Linked DNA regions of Danio rerio. The protein of the gene in region 2 interacts with the protein of the main gene of each other region in a pairwise test. Links are inferred from orthologs where the notes say so. Each region holds a gene or a part of one and is shown on either strand. Other genes may lie near its edges. The genes, in order: pfdn4 and vbp1.

Region 1 (4,609 bases), on a different chromosome or scaffold from region 2:
GGTCACACTGTTTGGAGGGCCGGAACAAAGTGCCTCGGGGGCCGTATTCGGGTCACAGGCCGCCAATTGAATAGCCCTGGTTTACACTATAAAAGTAATCCAATCGAATGTTTTCCTCTAACTCTGAAGGTGCTCAAAAGTGAACAAGCTCAAGCTCTGTTTACATCTGTATTTACCATTGTCCACTTATAATCGTACTAACGCATTTTAACGAATGTAAACAAAGCGCCTGTGTTTAAACCTAACAATTTATTGTAACTTTTTTGACCTAGATTTGCAACTTTTTTTTTCAAGTCAAAAGCGTTTTAAATTTTTGTAATGGCCCACAATGACATTCCACAGTTTTTCCTGTATATTGTATTGAGTGCCCTATAAAGTGTGTAAAAAAAATAAAGTCACCTTTGCTGCCTCCAGCATCTCCTGCGTCTCTTCTTGCGAGTGACTGATAAACACGTCTCCAATCTGATACGGGATCAGCATCGAATCATCCTCACACATCATGAGGTCATCACTGGCATCCTCTAAGTTCTGTAAAGATTTCTACGCACAATAAAGATTATGCGTCAGTAAAATGCAGCTTATATCCTGTATAAATCAAAAGCATCACAATATTACCTTTTTGGCCTCGATTTCATCTTTCAGTTCAGACATCCGATTTGTGTTCCTGGCAAACTTGTTTATCTTTTGCTGGTCCTCAAATGTTACATTGACATCCTCTGCTGCCTGTTCAGAATCAGAATCAGAGCTTTATTGCCAGGTATGTTCATACATGCGAGGAGTTTATTTTCGTGACAGAAGCTTTTACAGTGCAACAGAATGAGAGAGACAGGACAAAAAACAGATAATAAATATATTTTAAAAATAGAAGTAAACTCAAGTTATGATTCAAGCAGTAGTTTTGATTAAACATTGTGCATTACTTATTATGGTTTGATTTAATTTAAATTAATTCTGGTGTTATTGCATGATGACGTAGTAAAATCTCTGTTAAATGTCAATGTACGATCTTTGGCCCCACATATTACCCAGTGTGCAAGAAGTCTCGGTGTTATGTTTGATGAAAATTTTAAATTAAAGAAAATTTAAGAATTAAAAAGAGATCAGTCCTGTCGTAAAAACCTGATTTTACCACCTTAACAACTGTCTAAAATGAAGCCATTATTATCTCAGAGAAATTTTCAAACAATGATCCATGCCTTCATAACACTGGATTACTGTAACTCACTCTATTTTGGTATTTCTCAGTCTTCTCTCTCTTGTCTGCAGCTGGTACAAAATGCAGCTGCTAGACTAATCTCTGGCACCCGCAAGTATGAGTCGGTAACTCCGATTTTAGCTGCACTTCACTAGTTACCCATTAAATACAGAATTGATTTTAAAATTTTATTATTTGTTTACAAAGCTGTCAATAGTCTTGCTCCTCAGTACCTTACAGACTTGCTCCATCCGTATACCTCCTCTCGATCATTGAGATCTTATGATCTCAATTAACTTACGTAACCAGAACATGCCTTAAAAAACAAGGTGATTGAACATTTGCAGTTGCTGGTTCTAAACTCTGGAACACCCCACCAATTCACATTAGACTTTCCCCCTCTATTTCTGTGTTTAAGTCTGTTTTGAACACCTATTTTCTCTCGCTTTAATACTCCTTGATCAATGTTTTATTGTTTTATTTTCTAAATGCTTCTTTTATATTCTGATTTCGTCTCTGTGTTTAGTACTCCTATGTACAGCCCTTGGGTCCACCTTGGTTGTTTTTAAATGTGCTTTATAAAGATGCGAACATTAAAAATGACAGGATACTCAAAAATGCTTTTCAAAAATGTAGTTGCTATGTTAACCAACACAGGCATCAGAAATCTTCATTTAAATAGGAATTCATGTCATTGTTTTGACTCCTTTACACATTTTTATAAGCGTTTCACAAGCTCTCAAATTATGAAGTTACCATCACATGGACACACACAAACACTCAGCATTGTTTTGGATGTTCGGTAAGCTCTGTCAAAAAATATGCCTTGCTAAATATGCATATTATTTGCATTTCTTTGTATCTTTAGATTTACTTTTAAAATTTTACAATATAAATGCTAAGCAAATCATAAATCTTTGATTTGAATCCTGTCATCTTGACTCTTTGTGGTTTAGACTCGATGTGATTTACACAAATATAAGTTTGCTTAGCATTTTATACATTTAAAAAAAGCTTTTTTATGTAAACTAAACTCTATATAAAAGAACAAAATAAACAACCCAATATACAAGTTGTTAATCTGGTCAATCTATAAGAAATATTTAAGAATGACAATACAATTATGTGATTTAAAACCACCTAAATTTAAATGTAGATAGATAGATAGATAGATAGATAGATAGATAGATAGATAGATAGATAGATAGATAGATAGATAGATAGATAGATAGATAGATAGATAGATAGATTGGTGCAGAACGATGAACGTAAATGTAAATAATTACAATAAAACTCATTAACAGACAGGCACGAATAATATGACGTTAGCCATCCAAGCCGGTGAAAATAAACAATAAACCGTCCTCAGTTTCCCTCAGCTGTCTCTTTCGTTTAATATTTTAGATATTTCAGCATCACCAACGCGTTTCTCAGGGATGAGCAACAAAACAACGTGAATGTAGACAGAAAGCCGATAATGGGAACACATACCACTCCTTTCTTCATGGTGGCTGCCATCTTGAACGGGAAGCGAGCTGCGTGCACGCGCCTGAACGGCGTCTGAATGGAGCACGTGGATGTTTGAGTGTTTGTTGCGTGTTTCGGTTGCTGCTTCGAAAATATGGTACGTTTGACAAAGAAATTATGAAGTTTTATGTTTGAATCTAAATTACTGGCTTAACTAAATGCGTTTTGAAGTCGGTTTTCTTAAAATTATCCGCTGTTGCAAGGATTTTGGGCTGCAGCCATACAGACTTGAGGATTTTAGTTAGCAACACTTACTGACATCTTCTGGACAACCGTAGATTTACTCCCACACAAACATACTTTTGATGATTTAAATGTCGAATTCGCATGTTATATCATATATATGGGTGTTTACATTGGAAATGGAAGTGTAAAATGCGTTTTTTCCTTATTTTGTTTCGTTTTCTATTAAATATATAATATTAACATTAAAGTATGTTTAATATAGATAACGTTAGCTGTTTACTTAAGAAACAACGTTGTCTTGGCAATAAGTCTTTGAGAAGCTTTTCTTGGAAGAAAAATCTAAATGAAGCGAGTTTTTAGTTAAAAGCAAAAATAACTAATAGTTGTCTCTAAAGCAATGGATGGCCAAACTTTTCGTATAAAGGGCCAAAAATCAAATACCGTCACGCGCCATGAATATGTATGAACAAATATACCAAACTATATTACATTTAAATTGACTTGGATAATTAATTTCCTAATTCATTTTATAATATTTTAAAATAAATAGAAAACATCACTTTAAATCCTATTAACTAATGCAGAATAACATTTTAATTGATAATTTATTGCAATAAAAATTAACAATCTCTTTAGAAGTTCAATGCTGAATACTCTAGTCACTAGTCTTTGACTTGATTTGCTCACCTAAGTCTCTACATTATCAGATGACAATGTGTACATTTAAACAAAATCTGATTTAATTTACACAATTTAATTGAAACACTTAATTTCAATTAGCTTTTAACAATAAAAACTAGCAAAGGGCTACATTAAATTTAAACTGACAACCTCAAAACCATCCCCATCATTCTCCATCTCTTCTCAGATGGGATGACGGGACAAATCAAAGCTTAACATGTTCTAACTTTGGCCCACATTCCCTAGTTTTTGCATCTCTGCTATAAAGTAAATAATTATCCTAATTCTTATTTGAAATAACTATAATTTTAAAGGCTAGGTTATTTTTTGAAACTTAAACTCACAAAATTTTTAAACAGTACACGGCCAACTTAATAACAAACTATGCAATTGAGGAATATTTAATAGCCTATTTATAAAGGAATTATGAGAAATCATGGGTTGAATTAAAATGTACTTTTTTGTCCCTTTATATCTAGATTTATCCATGTCTAAGAACAAATAAATTTTTATACAGTTGAGATCAGAATTATTAGCCCCCCTTTGATTTTTTTTTATTTTTATTTTTTTTTTATTTTCCAAATGATGTTTAACAGAGCAAAGAAATTTTCACAGTATGTCTGATAATATTTTTTCTTCTGGAGAAAGTCTTATTTGTTTTATTTTGACTAGAATAAAAGCAGTTTTAAGTTTTTAAGCACCATTTTAAGGATACAATTATTATCCCCTTTTGGTTATTTTTTCCGATAGTCTACACAGAACAAACCATCATTTTACAATAGCCTAGCCATCATTTGCCTAATTGCCCTAGCCTGCTTAGTTAACCTAATTAACCTAGTTAAGCCTTTAAATGTTACTTTCGGTCATCTAATCAGAGACTATTATGCATCCCTAAGTAGAGGCTGAAATGCAGAGGTGACCGTGCCTTCACAATAGCTGGTCCTAGGTTGTCGAATGCTCTGCCCCTCTGTATCAGATCTGTTTCATCCCTGTTTTTAAATCTAGGTGAAAATTGTCTAT
Region 2 (2,566 bases):
GTGTGTTGGATAAGGGTTGCAACTGAAATCTGCAGGAAGGTAGATCTCTAGGAACAGGGTTGAGCACCCCTGCTCTAAATAAACATATTTAATCTAAATAATGACTTAATTGAACTTCTTTAAAACATTTCAGGGAGGTTTCTAGGCAGATGTTATAACTCAGACCCCTACAAATCAAATACTGCTTTAAAATGTCAATTCCAAATAGTTTACCCTTTATGCATATCACCATGGTTCAACTTAATTTTTATTTTATGTTTACATTTTATTTACCAAAGCATCAACAATAAAAACAAAAAACGTTTTAAATAGAAAATAATGTTTCAAAAAGAACTCATTTAAAAAAGCGTTACCACTAAATATATACAAATGTCATAAGGCAGAATATCTTCATTTAGCCTTCGTATCACAATGAAGATTGTCTTACATTGTATTAGATTAATTATTTCTTTATATATATCAAAACAAAGAAATTGTTATTTACGGTTTATTTTTTAGAAAAATTACTATTTTGCCATTATTTTATTTTATTTGTTACCATAAGGCTCTATTTTAAAAAAATTAAAATATATTTCCGACCTAGACTTTTAAACAGCTTTGACAAACTGTTGTAGGATCGGGACTCTTAATCTCACAAGTTATAATTTTAAAGGTATTATTTTAAACAATTTATGTCATTGAAAGACTGATCAAATGAAAGGTGCACATCACCATAAAAATAACAATACAATACCTGAATCTGTCCTTTTGCAATAGTTTAAGGATACTGACTTCAGTGGTTGTGAACTGATCTCTAAGGAAGTCCAGATCCTCTTCCAGAGAGTCCAGATTCCGGGACGCTGTGGCCAAGTTTTTCTCCAACAGCGCCTGGGCCGCATCAATGTCATACTCCAACATGACATTAGCCTAGCACACAAAAACACCAACCATGGCTATACACAAGATTTCAAAGTCAAGCTAAACAATTCTGGGTTAAAATATTATATCCAAGCAACTGGGTGTACATTTCACTAAACAGACAGTCCCAAAGGTAGAGTGCCTTGTTCAACAGTGCAAAAAAGTAATCAAGTTTAATGTAATTCCCTGACTTTTACTGACTAGAAAGCTTGATTTCCATGACATCTAATATATGCAAAAACAGGCAGCTCTTGTATATATTAGATTATTGATGTGTTAAAATATTAATATTAAAATATTTTCATTTAGCATCATCATTTACCTGCTTTTTTAAAAACATTACATTACATTAAGCTTTTCTTTTATCTACTTTTTAACCACCCAGTGTTTGAAATAACCCAGTGGTTATTTTGGAGCCAAAGTTCTTAAATTGTATATTATCCTGGTAAGTTATTCTTGGTTAAGGATACAGTCTGGTGACCGGTTTATAAGAATGAAAGAATTCAAATGGAGCTAAAACTGCCTAATCGTAATAATGCATTATCCAATGGAATAATCTAAATCGCTGAAATTTCATGAGCTGGACAAAAAATTATAATAATAATCTCCTGACAATTAGGGGTGTAATGATACACCAAAGGCACGGTTCGGTTAACGGTTTTAAAGCCACGGTTTGGTTTGGTACGGTTCGGTTCGGTTTCTGTTTGCTGTGGAGTTAGGGTTGATGTCATGTTAACAGCAATGCTAAGGTACAATAGATTCACTTACTAACAAGAACATCTTAACTTTTTCATTATTAAGTTTGTCATCACATTTTTAGTACAGTCAGAATACCAGAGTAAACAACTAAAATTAACTAAACACCTCCAATATAGACTAGTCAGAAAAAACTATTCTCTTAAGTGCAGCCATCTTAACTAAGTAAACTAAAATTAAATAAATAACTGCAGTGTAGACTAGTGAAAGTAATATCCACATTCTCAGGTGAGAGTCTTGATCTCTGTGCAGACACAGACATGATGCTCATTTTTGATTATCTAAGGTTTCAGTTAGATAGATAGCTTTCCGTTTAAATTAATGAAAAAATATATACATAAAATGTGTTTGTAAAGTGTTTTTACATGATATATTCACCAGTAAAATACATTGCAGTTGTGTCTGAAACTAATGTTAGAGTTGTAGTCGGCTGTATTTTTGCCTCCCGTTTTCTCTCTCCTGCTCCCTCCATGCTGGTTATTTCTGTAGGTCCGCCTTTATGACAGCTGATTGGTCAGGAGACCGATCTATCATCATTTGGCGACAAAGCGCGGGAATATAAAAAGCATGTCGGGAAGAGCGGGAGAGAAAGCGCTTTTTCCTTTGATCTCGTTTTTCGTGCATTTTCTGACACGATTATGATTTTTGTTGTTTTTGCTTAACTTTCGTTTGGGCAAAATTATTTTGCATTACTTTTGCCCACGTTGAGAAATTTTGTGAGGTTTTTATATTTTTATTTCAATTGATTTGTATGTTATTTTTTGCCTTGGCTCCTTCCCAACAATACTGAGGTTTACCTACTCAAGTTCACTCTTTTCTCAGAGTAAGGTGGATAGGGAAGATGTCATACGATTTCCATTTTGCAAACACGTTGAAAATGTATTGTTAAAGACATCAGGTAAGAGGTAAAGAT

The links.
Region 1: the proteins of vbp1 (region 2) and pfdn4 interact in binary tests that used the Homo sapiens proteins (3 or more experiments, as listed by UniProt). The link is inferred for Danio rerio from reciprocal best matches to the Homo sapiens genes VBP1 and PFDN4.

The regions. Positions count from the first base shown.
Region 1 is NC_133198.1:41,423,210-41,427,818, forward strand, and holds the start of pfdn4 (prefoldin subunit 4), read right to left. Parts: upstream 2,980-4,609; 5' UTR 2,714-2,979; coding exon 2,687-2,713; exon of another isoform or gene 2,683-2,686; intron 724-2,682; coding exon 616-723; intron 541-615; coding exon 400-540; exon of another isoform or gene 1-399. UniProt on the Homo sapiens protein: Binds specifically to cytosolic chaperonin (c-CPN) and transfers target proteins to it. Binds to nascent polypeptide chain and promotes folding in an environment in which there are many competing pathways for nonnative proteins.
Region 2 is NC_133182.1:23,873,279-23,875,844, forward strand, and holds part of vbp1 (prefoldin subunit 3), read right to left. Parts: intron 907-2,566; coding exon 768-906; exon of another isoform or gene 411-767; intron 240-410; exon of another isoform or gene 1-239. UniProt on the Homo sapiens protein: Binds specifically to cytosolic chaperonin (c-CPN) and transfers target proteins to it. Binds to nascent polypeptide chain and promotes folding in an environment in which there are many competing pathways for nonnative proteins.